Schizosaccharomyces pombe: one gene and its partners. The gene in region 3 interacts genetically with the main gene of each other region. Each region holds a gene or a part of one and is shown on either strand. Other genes may lie near its edges.

The links.
Region 1: of rad55 (region 3) and pmd1, changing one enhances a phenotype caused by changing the other (phenotypic enhancement), as found in Schizosaccharomyces pombe (one study listed by BioGRID).
Region 2: of rad55 (region 3) and mag1, a mutation in one rescues a mutant of the other (synthetic rescue), as found in Schizosaccharomyces pombe (one study listed by BioGRID).

Annotation. Positions count from the first base shown.
Region 1 is NC_003421.2:1,632,265-1,642,548, reverse strand, and holds pmd1 (leptomycin transmembrane transporter Pmd1), read right to left. Parts: upstream 7,457-10,284; 5' UTR 7,250-7,456; exon of another isoform or gene 7,023-7,249; intron 6,838-7,022; exon of another isoform or gene 6,738-6,837; 5' UTR 6,576-6,737; coding exon 2,487-6,575; 3' UTR 1,978-2,486; downstream 1-1,977. Other genes in the region: rpl39 (60S ribosomal protein L39), read right to left, coding at 1,373-1,528; wtf element Wtf15, read right to left, coding at 8,607-8,683, 8,743-8,799, 8,839-9,075, 9,123-9,380, 9,586-9,724.
Region 2 is NC_003424.3:2,952,383-2,958,448, reverse strand, and holds mag1 (DNA-3-methyladenine glycosylase Mag1), read left to right. Parts: upstream 1-3,584; 5' UTR 3,585-3,624; coding exon 3,625-4,311; 3' UTR 4,312-4,721; downstream 4,722-6,066. Other genes in the region: SPOM_SPAPB24D3.07C (uncharacterized protein), read left to right, coding at 1-425; SPOM_SPAPB24D3.06C (uncharacterized protein), read left to right, coding at 1,435-2,385; SPOM_SPAPB24D3.03 (agmatinase), read right to left, coding at 4,807-6,033. UniProt on the Schizosaccharomyces pombe protein: Hydrolysis of the deoxyribose N-glycosidic bond to excise 3-methyladenine or 7-methyladenine from the damaged DNA polymer formed by alkylation lesions. Can release ethylated and propylated bases from DNA in addition to 3-methyladenine.
Region 3 is NC_003424.3:2,064,317-2,070,501, forward strand, and holds rad55 (DNA recombination mediator, RecA family ATPase Rad55/Rhp55), read right to left. Parts: upstream 3,599-6,185; 5' UTR 3,449-3,598; coding exon 3,433-3,448; intron 3,389-3,432; coding exon 2,352-3,388; 3' UTR 2,126-2,351; downstream 1-2,125. Other genes in the region: eisosome BAR domain-containing protein Pil2, read right to left, coding at 537-1,688; SPOM_SPAC3C7.04 (transcription factor), read left to right, coding at 4,448-6,185. UniProt on the Schizosaccharomyces pombe protein: Required for radiation resistance and meiotic viability and acts in recombination and recombinational DNA repair pathways.

The DNA of each region.
Region 1 (10,284 bases), on a different chromosome or scaffold from region 3:
GAGTTGTTGATGCACCATTGAATTGATTAATCGCTTTTTTTGATGTTTTTTGTATGATTCGTTCGATGAAGAAGAAAAAAAAATAAGGTTCGTTTGGATAGATGCGTAAGAACGCTGTTAAAACTGCGAATTCTCAGAAAAGTTTTTGGACGAATGACTGGATTACTTTAAGTGTTTGTTTTCCGTTGGATGGATCAGCCCTTTAGCGGCCTTTAGCATTTTTTTACGTAGAGAAATTCCCTTGTACTGGTCGCTGTTGGTTGGATTGATCCATCCCTCGCTTTCCCCATCGTATTATAAAACACGTTGGCTTTACTTTCTGATTGCCCTCTTGAGTTCCCCACACGCCTTTCGACCCACATACCTTTTCGAGTTGTCTAATTAATATCGTTATTAAAAGACATGAATTATTGCAATTTTGTTTATCTCCTTTTTCATTGAGCGAAGAAAAAAAAAAGAAAGACCCTCCAATTATCATTTAAAACTTATTGCGTCTCGCTCAACCTTCATTGCAAGTGGGTAGGTGGGCTTTGAACACCTTCACGCTTTATTCTCTTGTTTCTGACCCTTTGATGTTCCCATCGATTTCCTTGGACATCATTCTGCCAAATGTGTTGCCATTTCATCTTTTTCTATTCTATTTTCTATTTTTTAAGCTCAACGTCACTGGCACTGAACTTTAGCACAGCTAGCTCGTTTTTGACTAATCTATACTCAATTGAAGTTCTGCATGACTACCATTAAATTTTTGTTTTATTTTTTTTACTTCTGGTCAAGTTTTAAATTTGTAAATATTTTCCTTACACAAGTAGACTTAAGATGTGTTGAAAGCTTCTTGATACCCTATGTACTAAAAAAACCCTGTAGCGTAAAACAATGCAGGAGGACAAATCATCCTGCAGTCATTTTATTTGTTACAAAGTATTTTAATAAAATAACTTACAAACTTTGTCGAAATTGAAATGAGTATAAATTTTTCAAGCTCTTTAAATAAAAACAAAAACTCATCTATCCCGACAATTACAAGTCAAAAGTTTTTCCTACCAGGTCAGGCCGCGCCGCCACCAACTACTAGAAAATTAAAGTACACTTAAAATCGTTTTATTTACAGATCATTCAACTCTACTATATTACACGACAATCCTTACGACTTGCATGGAACTGTTTACATAGTTATTGAAGACAACAGATACATTGCGTTTATATAGAAATTTTTCGCTCAAACAGAATGGATCCATTTTCTATTTTTGCACACGTAAAACGTAGGATACGCATAAAGCAATCCATAACTTCATGTACACGAACGCTATCTCAGTTAGAAAACAGTTACTCCACAAGCAAAGGCGTCGGTTGATTTTGTCGACATACCATTTTAGATGTTCAACTTGGTACGTCTCCAGTGTCTTCTCTTCATGTTATAATGAACAGTGTTTCCGGTGCGAAGACGAATCCATTGAGGAATGGGGCGGTTTTGACGCGCAGCCTTGGCAAGCTTTTGCTTGGTACGGAAACTCTTGTGAGAAGGCATTTTGTGGAAGACAGAGTGTTGCATCCACGCAACTAAAGCGAATGTGACTGCTCTTTTTTCACAACTGTGACTGTCTTTTGAAGGTTTTTGTAGGATTTAAGGAATAATTTCAACATACTATGGTACATATTGCTAGTAACCGTTAAAACTGTTTTGTGAAATATGCCGTCAGAGCGTTATTTAAACTAGAATTGAGATACTGAAGAAATAATTAAATATATTTCAGTTAGTCCAAAAGCTTGTTGTTAGAAAAAGGCAGACGCATTCAAGAAAGTAGTGTTAGTAAGTAATATTTGGTTCAATCATATCAAAGTAAACTTGCTATTAATTTTACATTTGGGCTAGAAGCTCATATTTTAAGCATTGAGGTACAAAGAAGTTCCCAAGTCAAAAAACTTCTATTTTGTTACTACTATTTACAATTTGAAAAACTACGAAATCCGTACTTATGAGGGTCAATAAAAAAACAAAAAACGAATCCATTATTCATTATGAATCAAAGTTAATGGTAAGAGTAAAATGCCATCGTACCGATTACGATAAAATAGACAATTATTTGCACGTTAGCAAATTAAATTAATCAGTTGACCAAACAACATTAAATAGCACAGACATTAAAATTCCTTACATTGCTAGTAAGGCCATAATGCCTAAAAAGTAACCTTGTTATTCAATCCTTGAAATTGACAAGTTTTTGGAATAAAACACAAACCTGACTATGGATGAAGACATATCTAGAAGACAAACGACAAACATCCATTTTCAAAATAAGGAAATATTAAGTAATTTAATAGCATTGGTCATGCTTCATCGCATAATAGTATACATGACCTAAATAAAGGAAATTCGGAAATAACTTAACGATATATGAGGGAGTTAATCTAAACAATGGAAACCCTTTTACTGATCAGAAAGACAAAAAAAGGGCTCTTGTCGGGTATCACCCTTTTCAAATAAATTATGCTTTGTTCAATCCCTGTTCAACCACAAGTTCATAGTAACGACCGCGCTGTTTAACAAGCTCGGCATGAGTACCAGCTTCAGCGATAACACCACCATCAAATACGAAAATACAGTCTGCATCTTGGATAGAAGACAAACGATGAGCAATTGCTACCGTGGTTCTACCTTGAGAGGCGGCATTTAAAGCTTCTTGAACGACCTTTTCGCTATGACTGTCTAAAGCACTGGTTGCTTCATCTAAAAGGAGAATCTTTGGATTTCTAATTAATGCTCTAGCAATGGCAATACGCTGTTTTTGACCACCAGATAAGGAAGAGCCCTTTTGACCGCAAAGTGTGTTATAACCGTTGGGCAATCCAAGAATAAACTCATGAATATTGGCCTTCTTGCAAGCTTCAATCATCTCTTCTTCAGAGACATCTTTAGATGCGCCCAAAACAATGTTCTCACGAACAGTACCTTGGTACAACGTTGGCTCTTGAGAGACAAGGGCAATTTGTTTGCGGTAGTCGTTAATGTTATAGTCACGAACATTAACACCGTCCACCAATACAGCTCCATTGTCGCAATCGTAGAAACGCTCGATAAGCCCAATGGTCGTAGATTTACCACAGCCAGAAGATCCTACGAATGCGACAAACTGCCCGGGCTTCACAGTGAGGTTCAAACCACGAAGAACTTTAATATGCCTTCTGGTAGGGTAACTAAATTCAACTTGCCTGAATTCAATTGCTGCACTTTGAAGGGATTCAACTTTCTTTCCTTCCGTCGACCATGTATCAATTTTAGGTTTTGATTCGGACAAATACTTAATTTCACCGGCAGCAGCCTTTGCTTTTGTTACATCTGCTGAGTAACCAAAGAATTGACCAGCTTGTTGTATACCAAAGACAATTGCAATAAAACAAGTATAAAACTGAACGATGTTATATTCGCCCTTGCGCATTAAGGTAGAACCATACCAAAATGTCAATGCGTTAATCAAAAAGGTAACACCTTGAGCAGCAGAAAAGAATAAACCAGATTTCAATGATGCGATTGCCGACTCACGGCCAGGTTTGATGAGAGAATCACAATACTCAGCAAAAACGTTTTCTTCGCGATTAAGACTAGCGACTGTACGAATGGCTGAAGTTGACTCGCATGCGAACGCAGCTGACTCTTTGTAGGCAGCAGACAACTTCTCTTGGACTTGATCAAGAGCACGTACACGGTAATAACCAGCAGTAATGATAACAGGGGAGGTCGAAAGGGTCACCAAACCCAACTTCCATCCTGTAGCCAAAGATAAAATCGTAACTGAAATGATATTGGTCAAAATTTGGAAAAAGGTTCCTAAAGTCGGGCCGCTCAATCCCTCCAAAGACTGAATTTTCGTTGATAAAGAAGTAGTAATAGCACCAACTGTGTTCTCACTACGGTCGAAAAACTCAACATCTTGACGAAGCAATGTTCGAAATAGATGATAACGAATTCTTTGCAAAACTGCTTCCATTGCATAAGTCATTGCAAAATTGGAAATTGCATAAGCGAAGAATTGAACAATAGCTAGAATAAGCCAATAAACAGCAAACACGTTTACTTTGTGTAAAAAGTCTGTGGATGAGAGATCAGTGAAGATATTGAGAAATCTTGCAAAAACAGCTGCCTGAACAGGGTAAGCTGCACCACAAATCATAGAAGCCAAAATACCAATTAATAGACAAATAATCTCTATCATTGTCCGTACAAAAGAATGAATGAACCATAACGCTGTTAACGAATTAATCTCATGGTTGTTTTTCTTTGACTTTTTGGACTTTTTAGGCTCCTCATTAAGTTCACCGACATCTGCAGGAGGTAGGTTTGGAACAATTTCGGAAGCTACATGCTGAAGGGTTTTGTCTTCAAACACGACATTATCTTTCTCGTTGAGTTTATTATTCAACGTATCAGTATCCGTATTATGGGACATCATAGGGGCCTCGAGGCTAGCCATATCATTATCTTCATCATCGTCACCAAAAGACGTTATGGGTATTTCCCTCGGAGCATCCTCCAGTTCTTCCTCGACCATTTCCTGGTCTTTTTCTCCACCTGATAGCTTTTGAGCTTCTACTAGTCTAGCATAAGCACCATTCAGATCTAACAATTCATTGTGGGAGCCCTGTTCAACAATTTTTCCTGCATTCACTACGACAATATTATCAGCGTTACGAATTGTAGAAAGACGATGAGCAATAACGATAGTGGTACGAGATCTCGATGCATTATCTAGAGCTTTCTGAACAAGCACTTCACTCTTAGAGTCTAAAGCACTTGTGGCTTCGTCCAACAATAAGATCTTGGGATCACTAATAACGGCCCTAGCGATTGCAATTCTTTGTTTTTGTCCTCCTGACATAAGGAAACCGCGTTGTCCAACATTAGTTGAAAATTGCTCGGGTAATGTCATAATAAAGTCGTAAGCGTTGGCAAGCTTAGCGGCATCATAAACTCTTCTTTCCAATTCTTCCTTAGACAAGGTACCTTTAATTGTATCAGGCAGGCCATAAGTTATATTTTCAAACACAGTTGTAGCAAACAGAACCGGTTCTTGTTGTACCAAAGATATTTGATTTCTCAGCGAAGCAACGTTCAGCGTTCTAAGGTCTTTACCATCTAAGAAAACCTGCCCACCAATGGGGTCGTAAAATCGCTCAACAAGTCCAATGATCGTGGATTTGCCGCTACCACTGGCACCTACTAAAGCAGTAATTTTACCAGAAGGGCATACCAAAGAAAAGTTATCCAGCACTAAAACTTCAGGACGAGTAGGATAAACAAATCGAATATTTTTCAATTCGATCTCCCCTTTAATATCTTTGACTACATCACCAGTAGGTGTAAAAGCATTAATTGGACTAACACGATCAATTGTGTCGAAAATCTTTTTAGCGGCTGAGGCACAACTAACAAATGACTGCATCTTAGGAGAAATGTTGGCCAAACTATAGGAAGCAATAAGGACGGCGAAAAAGCAGCCAATTAATTTGCTAACATCTAAATCACCTGCATGTAGGAGGCGTCCACCTTCCCAAAATGCAAGACCGTAAACACCATACGCAACAAAGAACATCCATCCAACCATTAAACCCATTGCAATTGCCTTATTGATACCGAAGCGTTGTGCAGTTATTAAGTACTTATTGTACAATTTTGCAAGAATATCTTGGGTACCAAAAGCAAAAGCATTTCTGATATTGGAAAACACTTCTTCCACAAATGTACTGGATTCGGCAACGACGGCGATTTGACCTTTGGTGTTTTTGGTAATAAAGGGAACACCCAAGCCGATACCACCACAAATGGCTGGAAACATTGAACTCAATATCAATGTGAACTTCCAATGACGAATAAAAGCGATAACAAAACCAGATACAAAGGTTGCTATTGCAAAGAACACCAATCCGACCTTCTCACCTAAACCATCTTGAATAAAGTTTGTATCAGTAGTAATTCGAGTGGTAATTTCACCGGCACCTAGACGATCGAAATAACCGATATTTTGGGAAAGAATGGCATGCAAATAATCTTGTCGAATACGACGGGCAATCCGCTCTCCTGCAATAATAAAGGTTACAGTGTAAATATATGAACAGCCAAAGACACCAATTGCGATGTAAATAAAATAAAGACAAAAGTGATCTACAGTGTGTTGGAAAGATGACGCTCCTTTGCCAGAGGCAAGGTCGGTAAAAGCTTGAGCCAGCTGACCGGATACAAGGGACATCAATGGCATACCCAGGCCGGCACCAATACCAGTAATGGTGCCTGCCAATTGCAGCATAATATCCCATTTATCGGCGTATGAAAGGATTCTAGGGTATCCAGAAAGTTTGGCAGGTGTGTCATTAATTTGTTTGTAAAGGATTTCTTGTTCTTCAGGAGTATACTGTTCAAAAGGATCTTTGACAACATCTACCACGTGGCTTTCAGAAGCCTCATTCTCGCTTTTCTCTGTTGAAAAGTTTTTTTCATTTGAAGGTATGCTTTTGATAGAAAGGTCCAAAGAATGTTCGTTATCCTTAACCGTAGAAGTGGATTTTTTACTATGCAAAGACATGATTATGCAAATTCTATAAAATTAAAACAAATTAAGAAAACCAGTTTGAGGATCGAGAGTAGAAAATGGAAATTAAGAAAAATAGGTAGGTTTAAACAAACGGAGATGTAGAAGATGAAAAAAATAATTTAAACCAAATAATTGGAAACTAAAATCGTAACACTAAGAAAAGGGTTAGAAGTCGTTCAAATAACAAGTCATCAATTATGGATAAAAAAGGCTAAAAGGGAGAAGAACGTGAATGGAATTGATAAAACGAATATCGTCGTAATTATTGTACCAGTTAAAATTTTTATTTAATAATTGGAAAAATCTGGTCAGTGAAAAAAAGCATTGAAGCAAGAAACTTTCAACGCCTATAGCATCCAGTACAACAAAATTTAGCGTTGAACCTTGTGAGGATAAAATCAGCCAACAAATTATTTCACTCGAATGCTTGCAGATGCATATGTGTCTTAAAAATAACAAAGAAAAAAATATTCCTACCCATCCATGAACTATCACAATAATCATTATAATCATAAAAGCCAAGCAGCATCTCAATCGTTCTCCTTCTCATCCAACTTGTAAAGACAGACTATTAGAGCTGAGACAATAATAATATTGCCATGTTACCATTTTGCCAATTCGCATCATCGTTCCTTGTTCAATCCATCCACACACACAACACTTACCAAATTACAATACAATTAACACAGTAGGGTTTTCCCAAATTTTGACAATTGTCAAAAGGCGTAAAAACGTTTCTTCCACGTCCTGATAGGGAATTGAAGTTAAGTTAATACCTCTTAATGCTAAATACTCTAATAAGCAAGCGCAGTCTTCTGCGACTAAACAAAATTCAAGAAAAAGCAAAAGAGTATAGTGATTTGAAAAGTACAACTAAAAATCCCTGTCTAATCAATATAAATGCACACTCGGCGCTTGTTTACCCTCCTCGGTTCCGAGGAGTTAGTTTTTATGAGATGACTAAGAATGAAGTATTTGTCTTTCACGTATTGCCAAATAGTGCGTTTTAGCATGTGGAGGCATAAGCCACAATTAAAGGCGGATTCAGACGTAGAAACAGATAGAATTCGCTAATGTGCAGTTGCGCATTTTTTAACCAAGATAGCAAATTACTTGAAACTACGGTGCTTAAAATTGTGATCTCTATGTTTATATTTTAACAATTGTATAACGAATGTAAAAACTGTAATGAGTGCGTAAAAACATTGTAAACTTTTATATCGTTATATCTCTATATTACGCAAAATTGTCTATCACTGATTATTATATAATTCCCATTAATGAGGTTATCCAACTAGAATTCATATTCATCAACTGAAATGATCAAACTGAGAAAAAAATTTAAATAAACATATACTAAACTTAGTAGAACACAGTTGAGCCTACATTCATCAGTTCAATTAGTGGGCTATACTTCAATTGAGTATTTTACTATTATGCTGGTTTAGCTTAACTATCTTAGCATCAGATAACATTACCTAGGAGCTTTTTTGTCGCTCGCTATTTAGTAAACAATAACATAGATTGGTCTAAAACAAATTAACAAAGAAGTAGACATTGACGAATTTGGTTTCATTAAAAAAGAGTTTAAATTTTGAGAAATAATCATGAAAGAAATATAAACGAAATTATGAATACAACCAGACTGAGCAGTAGGTTTCCTAATTCCACTAGTTGATTTGATAGTCAATCTAAGAATCGCAATTTATCAACGTGGGTTGACATGAATAGTAACCATCATCAACGCATTCTTGCAATAATGGATATGCAAAATCCCATATAAACATGTCAAGTAGCATTGTAGAATGCTTTTAAGTAACACACTGGTCAACAAATTAAATGATAACAAAAGAACGAGATAAAAATATACAGTACAAAAAGTTGGCAAATGATCGACCATACTTAAACTTCCAAATTAAAGCATTATGATTGCAAAGTTACTCCATTGCGTTGAATATTTCGTGAAAAGAGATTTTGAGAAAAGCGCTTCGCGACTATTGACAGTACCAAGCAATAATGAAACTAAACTAGGTCTTCGGGACTTGTTTCATTCAATTGATTGTAGTTATTTTCAAACGCATTTTTTCCGCCACCAAGAGCTTAATATCGTTAATAGAAAATTCTTTGCAAGAAATATCTCATTATTTATAGAACATACATTTAATCCATGCCACGGTATTTATGAACAAATGAGTGCTGCATGATCTGAGTTGTACTGTATTATTAATATAACTAAATTATTACAATAACGAACCTGATTCATTTAAGCAAAAAGAGATGCATGATACAGGAGTGAGAATGCTAGATAATGTTGAGCATTTCCATCCCCATTTATCACCAGAAAGAAGAACTAAAAAATGTTCAATCGTTTTCAAAAGCCCATAGAAAACAAAAGTTTTTAAAAATGCACACACAATGTATTCCTTCTTGAAAGGGCTTATCACTTTTTTCAAAAAGTGCTTCACAGTCTTGGTCCAAGTTTCATAGTAGTCTGAAGAGTTAGTGAATGAACTGATAACATCCTCACAATTTGCTTACAAATTGAGCCGCTAAACAATATCACAGAGATTATACCGAATATAACCAAAAAAGCTATAAGGAAAGTGTGTGTGTGCTCAAAAGGAAGCACGCAACCAAGCACAACAATTGCAAAATAAGAATAATAAACAATACAAAAAGAGAACTTCAGAAGTAGACTATGGCTTGTGGGCGATTGCGTAGATCCTGTATTACTTTCGATGCTGTGATCTGGAGTTTCTGAAGCTTGAGACACAGGATTAGCGGACGTCAGAATATCTGAATGCATTAGTAAATGCTGAAACTTCAAACATTAACAGGAATTTATATTATATTTGAAAGAAAAAAAAAGCTCACCGCGCTTAGAATCGAAAATTTGAGTAAGTCGAATGTAACCAAATAATCACAAACATGTTATTTTTAAATAACATCAAGATACAGTTTTTACTATAATGTTTTCTTTCATATTAACAACATAACGTACCTGAATTTGAAGGCAATGTGCTTTTCTCCTCCGAATTGTGCTCTGAAGGTGGGCTTCCTTCCAAGTCAATTTCATGTCCTGCCTTCAATCCCATTTCTTCATCTAAAGAGCTGCTTAAGGAAGTATAATTATTGCTCATCTTATTAAATGGAGGTAAGATATACTCAAAAATATACCAATTGCTGGGATTGCGACAAACGTAAGAGCTATTAAGAAAACCTCTTTTATCAACAATTCAATGTAGAGCGGCGATCAATAGACCTCTAAAAAAGAACTAACTGTTTCTTTTAGCTTCTCAACTAGTATCAGAAAAAAAAAATCTTTCAAAACCCATCTCTAAAATGCGATTTCCTCTTACATACCCATTTTGTCACTGCTCCTTTTATAACGTGCAACGAAAATACTATTATTAATTTTATGTCAGCAATACTACACTACGCTATGATACACTACGTTGCGTATCACTATATGTCATATGTTGGAATACTAGCTAAGATCCGTTTATTGATAATCACGGGTAACTATTCGTCTATATACATAGATACCCGTTGATAACAACTATTTAGAAATATTATAAATAGAGTTACAACTGAACTGAGGAACGAGGTTCAGTTATGAGCTATATTAGTGATAGGTAACATTATAATCCAGTTAATACAATACCTATACTCAGTTGCTACTTATACAACCTGTGTATTG
Region 2 (6,066 bases), 890 kb from region 3:
ACAGCTACGAGTACGACTTGACTAGCATTGTTAGCTTGTTCGGAAAGAACTGGACTGTTGATGAACTCGGATGGGGAACCTATATTGCTCATAGCCTCAACGAGATCAGCAGCAACACCACCGGTGCTGCTAATGCCACCCTTTTCATTGACACTCAAACCAAGAGCGACTGCTACAAGTTGGCTAGCACCATCGAGAGCTGGAAGTATGCTCCCCTTTCCGCTTTCCCCAACTATGGTCCCTTCTATATTTATGGACAATGTGTCGCTACTTTCACTTCTGGTTACAGCCCTCTCGTTGAGCCTGCCTTCACCTTTGCAAGTGCTTTGAACACTACCTTGAACTCTTTCCCCAACGGTACTTTGCCCACTCAGACCCAAGTTGTTGGAGACATCGGTGTCAAGTTCCTTCAATACTTTGCTTAAATTCTCTCGTTTTTTGATCCCTATTAATTGACGAAAAAGACGGGTCTTTACGTATGAAACTCTCCTGTTAATGCGATTTGCTGCGAAAAGCTAATCCCTTTAGATAAGTTATCTCAAACACGGTCTTGAAACTCCTGGTTAATTGTAGTCGTTTATCGTCTTACATAATTTATTCTATGTGAAAATAAAAATCACTTTTGTTTAGTTATGTGGTCACTGTTGTGAAAAGGTTTATTGTAATGTATTCTCTCAGTAGTAGTAATTGTAGTGAGTAGATAAACGTTTACTGTATTTTCGTCTAATTGCAATTTTATGATGTTCAGTACAAGATATAACTTACTCAATCTTTTTCGATTGGATACATCATACAAATCAAAATTGACACCACTCAAATCGTTAATTGCCATTGTATGCATCTTTAAACTTGTATTATCGCACATATCCACTTTTCTGCTAGTAATAATGTTATCCAACTTTCATTTAGAGCGATATATCTCTTTCTCATTAATCATTTTACCAAGCTGGGTTTGTGAATTCGTTCCAACTGCGACCATCATTATTTGAAATCCATAGTGGTTTATGGAAAGCTACATAAAGCAAAAGCAAAAGAAGGAATTGCAAAATTCGTACTTTATAGTAGCTGAATGATCTATAAACAATAATTTTTGGAAAATACTAAGCAAATAGTTTCGAACGCCTTAAACTCTTGAATTGATTAACTTTTGTACAATCAACTCCAAGCTTCAATACCTAAATTTACTAATTCAATCCTTCTATATGAGATTTCTATAATCATATCTTAAACTTGATTGTAAACCGGATTGTAATTATATTATAAAGCACGCGATCAAAATAGTGAGCTTAGTTGTTGTTTTGCTGATAATGGATAAGATATAATCCTTGCTCATATCTCGTATTTGAGCATCGTATGAATATCTACTTTGTAAGGTTAGGCGAAAATTATTCAACTTTCAACATCTAAAAATTTGATTCTTTTATTTATTGCACGATGTCAGCCTCGCATCCTGGTATTCTCCATGAGTACACAGAAAGGCTTGTTGCTTTCGAGCTAGTTGGAAAAAGTAACGTTACACTTACATCCAACGTAACTCGATCATTATTGTTATTTGTCGGGGGACTTGGCGATGGTCTTTTGACAGTACCATATGTTCAAGAACTGGTCAATCCATTAGATGAAATTGGTTGGAGTATTGTACAGGTTCAAACTCAGTCCTCGTATATAGGATGGGGAACGGGAAGTTTGAAACGAGATGACGAGGATTTACACAAGGCAGTGGACTATTTTTTGCACATTGGAGGCGCGGACTTTTCTACTCGCAAAATCGTTTTGATGGGACATTCCACGGGATCGCAGAATGTACTATACTATCTTACACAGTCCATTCTTCCAAACTACTTAATCGCCGGAATAGCACAAGCTCCAGTATCGGATAGAGAAGCCGCGTATCAATTTAACGGGAAAGAAAAAACAAAGGAATTGGTTGACTGGGTTAAAGCAGAATATCTTGACAAAGGACTAGGAAATGATGTTTTACCTAGAAGCAAGGTAGAGAATTTTTTTGGTGAAGTTCCGACATCTGCAAATCGATGCATTGACTTGACAGATGTCCGCGGAAATGATGACTTTTTCTCCTCTGACCTGAGCGCCGATGATTTCGCTAAAACTTTTGGTAATCTCAAAGAAATCTCCGGCTCCACAGCACATAGTCAGTTGATACTGCTTATGTCGGAAAGGGACGAGTTCGTCTCGCCATCAACTGATAAAGCACAATTACTGAACCGATTTCGCGAATCAATTCGTCCTACAACTTCTAATAGTTCCTTAAGCGGCATCATACCGGGAGCTACACATAATGTCGGGCCAAAATCTTCACCAGAAGCTTTGAAATGGTTGATAAATCAACTTATAACGGCTTTAAGAAGCTTCATTGATCAATAAAGATTCGTAATACATAGAATATGACTTTAGCGCTAAAAGTCACGTAGAACAGTTTAGATAATTGTGATCCGGATGAAATATTCGACAAAATCTCGCAATGGAGATTTAACAAAAGTAATGTTTTAAATTCAAAAGCATACCCTTAAGCTATCAAAAGCTTCCTCAAAGTTGGAGTTTGATAACTTTTGTGATATTTTTTATCTTTGAAGTTACTTTTGAAATGCTATAAAAGGTATATTGAGAACAATTCCAGTTACTAATCTACTGTTTTACAAATTAAGACTTAATGTTTATCCCATTCCCTTCATAGCGCATTTATCCATTTTATACGTGTTAAGATTATATAACAATATTCATCTCCATACTTCTGTCATTGTAAATTAAGGCGTATAGTTACTTCAATTGTATTATGAAGACAACTGCAAAGCTTCTTTATGTTCAACGTCAATGCTAATTAGAGAAAGTAAGCTTAGTAAGGTGGATGAATAATTCTTAAAACACTATGCTTTCTTTATAGCTATTCCATCGTTTTATCCATTTTATGCCTTATTGAACGCCCAATATTTCTTTAATCTGTCATATACTCTAAGGTCGAAGAGTTGTTACTTGTTTAACGGAAGTGGTTAGTTTCCTCTGACTCTCCTTTACAACATTTTACATCTATAAAAGATCTTTGATACTAACTAATGGAAAAAGATATTATATAAATTGATCGTTTCCACCATATTGTTTTCACTGTCCAAGACGTAGAAGCCACCTGTGAGTTCTATGAGCGCACATTAGGAATGTCGGTTATCGCATTTGGAAACAATCGCAAGGCACTCGGTTTCGGTCATAAAAAATCAACTTGCATCAAAAGGGTAATGAGATTGACCCAAAATCACACATACTGACTCCTGGGTCAAATGATATTTGCCTAATAGCTAAAACACCCTTAGAGCAAGTCATTGCTCACTTAAAAAAGCAAAATGTTCTCATAGAAGAAGGTCCTATTACAAGGGCTGGAGCTGAAGGAGTTATCCTCTCTATTTATTTTCGCGATCCAGATGAAAATTTAATTGAAGTTTCAAATTACATCTAAGAATGTTGAATTTGCTTCAAGATTCCTTTTTTTTAGCTTAGGACTTGCTTACATAAATAACGAATTGCAGTGCAATTCCTAAGGAATGAAAACCCTTACCGTTTAGTCAAAAGCACATAATGAGTGATAAATTTTTGATCAATTGAATCTTTGCTATTATGACTTTGGACATTGAAGAGAAAGAAGAGATAGTCACTTCACTCACAAAAGCAGAAATCCATCTTTCTGGATTGGATGAGAATTGGAAACGGCTCGTGAAGCTCGTTGGTAATTATCGACCCAATCGAAGTATGGAGAAAAAAGAGCCTTATGAAGAATTAATTCGTGCGGTAGCATCTCAACAATTGCATAGTAAAGCTGCTAACGCAATTTTCAATCGCTTTAAAAGTATTTCTAACAATGGCCAATTTCCAACACCAGAGGAAATTCGTGATATGGATTTTGAAATAATGCGTGCCTGTGGATTTTCAGCTCGTAAAATTGATTCATTAAAAAGCATTGCTGAGGCAACAATCAGCGGTTTGATTCCTACTAAAGAAGAAGCTGAAAGGCTCTCAAATGAAGAATTGATAGAACGACTTACTCAGATTAAAGGAATCGGAAGATGGACAGTAGAAATGTTACTCATCTTTTCGTTGAATCGTGATGATGTTATGCCAGCTGACGATTTGAGTATTCGTAATGGATACCGATATCTACACCGATTACCAAAAATTCCAACCAAGATGTATGTTCTTAAGCATAGTGAAATATGTGCACCTTTTCGTACTGCAGCAGCATGGTATCTCTGGAAAACGTCAAAACTTGCCGATTATACAAAGCCTGTTAGGCCGAAGAAACACTGAAGGACAGATGTATTATATATTTAAAAGTAAAAAGTTGAATTCGATAAGTTTATTCCTGGTTGGTCTTTTACATTTTATGTACGCTTCTTTTTATTTTTGGTTTACCAATTTATAGTATCTTTTCAATCATTTCTGAATAGAATGTCTACGTCCACTCAGACGAAGCATTTTCGTCACATTACGCTTATATAAAAGAAGTGATTTTTTGGTGAATGATGGCAAAAATAACAAAAGGGAGATGAGATGTTTTAATGGGTTCATTTGCAAATATTTACAAAACACTCTTGGGTGGTTAAGAAAACCCGTTTCTGCTACATTTGTCTTTTACTTTATGTGATACAAGATAGATGACGCTCAGCTGTCTCTAACGATATACTTGCGTATGATATGTTAATAATATAATGAATAATGATTTTTTTTGAACATGCTCATTTCTGTATCTGTATCTATGATGTCGATATAAATATTGAATATTAAATAAACCAGTTATTTCAATTATTTATGTATTGGCATGTAACGAGATAAATCAGCCTCTTTTACCAAAGGATATTTCACCATCATAGATACAATGTCAAATAACAATTGCGCACCAGCCAAGGATGTTATTTCTGCAACATCGTAAGCGGGAGCTACTTCGACAAGGTCAGCGCCTACGAATTTCAGACCTTGCAAACCACGTAAAATTGCTCTCATTTCTCTAGATGACCAACCGCCAGTTTCAGGAGTACCCGTAGCGGGTGCAAATGCAGGATCAAGCACATCAATATCAATGGATAAATATACCAAATTATCACCAACTCTGTCACGAATCTTTTTGACGATACCATCAATCCCCAAATCATCAATTTCACGAGCCTCAATGATTTTGAAACCACAATCAACATCATCATCGTAGTCAGAGAAACTAGAGATAGGAGTACGAATGCCAGCATGAATGTTGGCATCTTTGCTCATAATACCTTCTTGACTAGCAAAGTAGAAATAAGAACCATGGTTTATTCCATCTGCTTCATCGCCATCGCCAATCAATCCAGGAGCCCACGTGTCTAAGTGGCTATCGAAATGAATAACTGAAATAGGTTGTCCGTAAACACGATGCAAAGCTCGTAAGATGGGAAGGACAATGGTATGGTCACCACCGAGTGAAAGGACTCGAGGAAGCACAGTATCATTTTTTGCAAATCCATCATGGTCAGTAAAACTGGAGGGCTTTCGAGCTATTAGCTGGAAATATGCACTTTCTAACTGATCCATAGCTTTAAGAATATCATACGTGGTGACTGGAATATCTCCACAATCCACAAGCTTTGCCCATGATTTGAAAGGATTGATTTCAAGAGGTACATTCACTGCACCGTATTTAGTATTTATGCGTCGAGATCCTTCACGCAAACTGCTTGGACCAAATCGAGCACCAGGGCGGTAAGAAGTGCCTGTATCGAAAGGCATTCCTATAAAGGCAATATCAAAGTCCTCTGACCTTTTACTCAAACATTCAACATTCTCCAAACGACCAAACGTCGCAATCCCTGAATACATAGGTTCGACTATACTTGAGAATTCTACTTCCTCATAGTTACTAGGTACAGCATAGAATGGTGATTGTTTTTCCTTTACGAAAACTGGATTCTTCTCCTGAAAGCCCAAGCCCATCCTCCCAGCTTCTCCAAAGCCAGAAAGTAGCAGAAAAACTCCCCATGTAAACCATTCAACACTTTTCATAATTTCTTGTAGCTACGGTTCTAAGACAGTGAA
Region 3 (6,185 bases):
CTTTATTGATATTTTTACCGTTGTTAAATAATATATACTAAAGATCTGACCCAGTTGAATTTGCTATCTATGTTGTATTGCTTTTTACTAATACAACCGAACTGCCAATTTTTACATAAATATTTTATTAAATCGGATTGAGAAGTAAAAATTATAAAATCATACATTTAATAAAATCCTTTTTCAACACAAATAATCTCCATTGTTAATTAATTGCTTTAACCAACAACCTTGTTAAGCCTAATTTTGACCGCAGGAATTAAAAAAAAACACTAAATAAAAACAAGATAATTAAGAAACCAACATCTGCGAAACATAAAACTCGGTGGAAAATAAATATGGTTAAACGACATAGACACAAAAACAATGGTAATGAGAGTAACGTGAGTATTAGTTCGATAAGCATGCATATGTAGCAATAGCAAGTGCTTAACACGTGCTAGCAAATTATGTGAATTGACATGACAAAAAATTCACGTCAATTGATGAATGCGTAAGGATCACCAGAAATCGCGTGAATACACACCAAGACTTGCTTAAGCAGCAATAGGTTGTGCACTAGTGCTAGGCATAGACGTTTCAGCAACGCCTTGAGATCCTACTTCTTCATCATCCTCCTCGCCAATTTCAAAGTTATCAACAACTTGGGTGCTTTGAAGAATGTTTGGTTGAAAACTAGGTTGATAATCTTCTGTACCCATTTGAGAATATCTTTTACTACCTGTAGAGGTGTAAGAGTGTGTAGTGCCGGAAGTAGTTACACCATTCGCATGAGAGTAACGGCGTGGAGGTTCATTGATTACATCTGTGCGAGGAACGACACTAGCTTGAAATTGTGTTTGATAATGACTTTGAGAAGGCAAACCATCAATGTCGGTAAGGGGTTCAGGAGTTTGGAAAGGATTTTGCCAATTAGCCAACTCACGTTCAGCCTCAACAATATAGTCACGGGTTATGTTGTAACCATCGTAAATAGGGCGAGGCTCACCGGGAACAATGGGAGTATCGTCCAGGAGATCGAGGATCTTCTTGGCATACCCGCAAAGAATAGCAACCTTTTCAGAATGCTCAAGTAATGTACCAATATGAAGAGTAAAAGCACGTTTAAAGTTTTCGCGGGTAATGTTAGTTAACTGCGCTTCTGCAACCAAACACGCAGCTTCCTCACGAACTAGTTCCTGTTCCATAGTAATAAGCTTTGGGGACTCAGGATCACGGCTTCTAACATCATAAATGGAGTTAAGTAGCTTTTCTTTCTTAACACGGGTGGGTTGAACGCTAGCCTCAATATCACGGATGGTCTTCAGACTAACACGATATTGATCGTATCTGTCTACCATATGCTCCTCAAGTTCGCCAATTTCATATAAAAGTACACCAAGCTTATCACTGATATCGCTAATATCATCATCGCAATCTTCACCCCAATACGAAAGTTGATTGGCACATTCTTTGCGCTCCATGGCAACGTTTTCATAAGATCGAAGTAAATCCTTTTCCATCTTAACGAGAGCTGCAAGGCGTTTAGCCATTTCGGGAGTAAACATACCCACAGATGGATAACGGAATTGTCTGCCGAGTTTATTAACATTTACTGCACGACGGGTAGTAGAGGGAGGAATTTGATTCTGTTTCGCTTTAGGAGGCGCGCGAAGCGTATGAATAGAGTAAGATGGTTGAGTGCCCATCATCTTGCTAATTACTTGATAAACGATTTAAGACTTTGAAAATATGTATATATAAAAAGAGAAAGGAAATACTAATAAAAAGGTTAGTATGTTAATTAGAGGTAGGTTGAAACAATGTTCATTAAAACATACTTAATCCGCCAACTCACACTAGACAAAGCGAAGTATAAATAAGGTCAGGCTCAAAATGGACTTATTAGACTACACTTTCGAAAGTAACAAAAGAGCTGTAAAGTTCAGGTAGATTTTTAGCGACTTGAACCCATGTTTTAAAGATTTGAGCTAGGCTTGAGACGTCACTATGTCAACATGGAATTTATATGTCGAAAGCATAATGTCATTATTGTCCGTACACTGAATGCGACACCTAAACAATTGAAAATTAATAAGGACTTGTCAATCAGCAAACATATAGATATCTTAATCATTTCCCTCCTCTATGACAATTAGCAATTTCATAAAAATGAACGAACAAAATAGCTTATGATACATTATGAAAAGATATGAGATCACAAATAAATCATTGAGAAACTTTTGACCAACACTCGACAAGTATTCATAGTTGTTTATGCAACGTAATGAATAGGTATAATAAATTAATAGATATGGGCAAAACAACCATCACTATGCTAAAAAATTCGTAACTGAAGCCACCATTTTTACCTAGGACTCACATTCCAAAATGGATCTCTTACGTCGTTGTGAGCTATTGGTAGGAATACTTTGATAATCCTGAATACCAGTAGATGTTAACTGAAAAGCCAACTCTGATTCTGCAGAATGAGCTGGTGGCTGCTTTGCCATGAATGCATAGCGCAGAAGCTGATGAGAGGGACGACTCTGTCCATCTTTTGATTCTTCAGTTGAATGCCTACTGTAAAGAATGAGCCGATAAGATAGATTATCTAACCAATTAGTGCTGAGAAGCGGTATCAACTTAGCACCTATCCCACTAACAACTTTTGAAGTCATCTGGGTGGTAACAAAGATAGCCACATAACAAGAGGATGTAATTTTGCTTAACAAAGAACTGATTGTACCGATTGCCTTTTTTCTGCGGTTTATTGTTGTTTTGGTAGAGGAGTTATGAAATGCAAAATTCGAGTCGTCTTTACTCGAGAACTCATTTTCTTTGTTTAACGTCAAAGTGTTTTCTTTTTGAGATGAATCTGAAAGGGAGCTTTTTTTGCTGGTATTACGACGAAGACGTAGATAAGCATAATCTTCTGGACTGGTTGGATATGCAAGTTGAATAGGCATTGATAGGTTGTCAATAATTAATAATCCAATTTCTTTAAGATGTTTTTCTTGATCGAAATTTCGTAAAAAAGCTAGAATATTCACTAAATTGGGTGCATATACAACATCGAGAAGATTTAATAACTCATCAGTATCGCATTTTTCCTCTTCATCTTGGGAAGAAGGGACGTGATTGTCTAATAGTTGACGAAGTCTCTCCATGGGAATTGGTTGACAAGTTTCGACCCAAATCACACGAGAACCGGAAAGAAGAGCGTTTGCAGTAATCTGTAAAGCCAAACTTGTTTTTCCCATCCCAGGTGCTCCACATACTTCAGAAATATACCCTCTTTTAAGACCACTTCCTCCAAACGCATCATCCAATAATTTTGAATTAAAGCCGAAACCTGGAGCAGAAAATGCTTCGTACGCACGAATAGCAGGTTGAGTCACTAGACGATCTAAAAAGTATTAGACACAGTTAGCTAGGCTGGAAGTCGCATACGTTGACTAGACAGCATTTATTTCAATGAAGGTTAAATCCAGCACAGTGCGACCTACTAGAATAACAGCGATACAGTTTATATTAAATTGATAACAGCATAAAAAGGATATAGGAAAATTTCCCTTTACATGAGAAACAACGATACGTTGTAAGGTTTGGAGGTGTTGGTAGAACGACAAAGGAAATCCTACGTGTTTTACTTTGCAATCATTTCATTAAATGTTGTTTCTTATAAGGAATAAATTATTTTAGTCTTAAGGTTAAGCAGATTAGAAGGTAACAAATTCGTAACCTTTATACATAATGGGAAATTTGACTAGGTAGGTCAACAGGAATGCAAGAGTAAGCTCAAGTTCATTTGAATCTATGATTCATTACTGCCTTTGACTTTGAACTTTAAACTTTGGGTTCATATAACGCAACATTTACATTTGTATTGAAACTCAAGAGGGTTTTAATCAAAATAGCTATTATTTTCGTACTACATTCCGTTTATGAAATAGCGTGTCGACCGATATGTGTGCAATTAGTTTACTATGTACACAATACTCATTTTATTGAAGAAATACTAAAATGGAAAATTATTAACAAAAATCGATTGCATGCCATGCTTCAATAAACGTATAAGCTCGTCAACGAAAAGAAATTGACGGAAGTTCCCATTTTCAAAGTACAATACAAGCAGTATTTATTTTTCAAAAATTTAAAATCGGTTAGATTTTTTCTTAAAGTTATGTATAAACAAGGTCTCATATACTAATAATATGTGTATATATTAGATTTCGTTGATAAAAAAGGTTCGTACCACTACACTAAATTACGCCCTCCAGTAGAACATAGGAGCTGGGGTACTACAATTTTTTCTTTTAGGCATTTACTAATCAAGTTCTGCCAAGTCATTGCCATAGTTAAGCATTTTCTCTTTTCAGAATTGAAATTCTGTAATATAGAAAAAGAATTTTAAATTTATGGAAATTGGTATGAACTTGGTATTTTACTAACATAAACGGGGAAAATGAGCCATGAATTTTCACCTGAAAATACGGCGGTTCTGTTCGAAGCCATGAAGCAGGAGCAGCATAATAGGAGACGTCGTGTTCCTATGGAGAGACGAAGAAGGGTGGTTCTAGCCTGCTTTAACTGCAAAGCCCGGAAAGTTCGTTGCGACGGGGCAAACCCATGCAAAGCTTGTGCTTCCAATAATTTGGAATGCACATATCCAGTAAAGGATGAAAAAGAAATGGATTATTCTAAGGACTACTTTATTGATCTTTCAAAAAGATACAAGTGTTTAGAATATATTGTTGAACGTCTTTGTTCCACCAAAGTTTCGACTTATACTACACCTTCATTGATTGAAGTTTGCAATCGTATAAGCAACCAAAAATCACTATTATCTTCAGATGTCTTTTCCCTCAATAGTGAAAGCACCAATAGTCAACGTGACGTGGATACCCTTACACAAGGTGCACTTGTTTGTTCACAAATTCAGCAAGATCCAACGGTCGTAGCAGAGGATACGAACAATGGAATCAATGCTGATGCTAGCGATCAAAGCGTTGACGAAATCATGAAATTAATTGGAAAAATAAAAGTTGACTCTAACGGCGAATCCCGTTATATAGGAGCTTCTGCTGGTGAAGCATTCGTTGACTCTGTTCAAAGTGAACTACTTGTCGATCCTTCTTTTTCCGAGCTGAGCGCGTATTCCCATACCCATCACAGTTATCCTCCGAATGAACATGATGTAAATGCTGTTCAAAAAGCGCTGAGTCTTCTCCCTCCTCCTGAAGTTTCAGATTTTCTTATCAAATCTTTCTATGGCCATGTTCAAGCAAATTTTTTCTTTTTCCATGAAACATTACTTCGTTATCGTTTAAACCTTATCATGAGCTTCCAAAATCCATCCGTTGACCCTGGCTTTCTTTGCTTGCTAATGATGATCTTTGCACTTGGTAGTATGTTTGCTCACATGGAAATTCGTTCTGCTAGCAATCCTTTTGACAACCCAGGAAAACAGTTTTTTGATACTGCTAGGCTTTTGTTACCACAAGTAATTCAGCAATGCAAACCAAGCTTGGTTCAGGCTTCCATACTTATGGGGTTGTATCTTCAGTCTACACTTTCCCAAAAGAGTTCCTATACTTACTTCGGACTTTCTTTATCTGCTGCTGTCGCAAACGGGTTGCATCGTAGCTGTGAAAATCCAAATATTGATCCCAAGACCAAAGAACTTCGTAATCGCCTATGGTGGTCGGTTTATACCATGGATCGCTTAATCAGTATTGCTACAGGACGTCCACTTTCTATTGCGGACAGCGAATGTGATGCGGCATTACCAACAGTAGTGCCTGAATTGGAAATAGAAGGTTCTGCTTCCAACGTTCATAATATCATATCTATGTCTAAAATTGCGAAAATAATGGGAAAAACTATGGAACAACTTTATGGAACTGTCAATTATAAAAAGAATCCAATAAACATAATTGAATCCCTTCGCGCCGATCTTGAAGAATGGAAGCGTTCTTTACCACCATTTCAGATTTTGGAAAATCTTGATGCTGAAGACCCACTTTTTCGTGCAAATGTGCATTTACACATGACATATGACCAAGCTATTATCATCATGTCTCGACCTGTTTTACTACATAAAATGAAAAATGCAAAAAATTCTCCGCGTGTCGATCGTATCAATGAAGACTGCATTTTAGCTGCCAGGCACTTAATTTCACTCGTACATTTACTTCAGAATC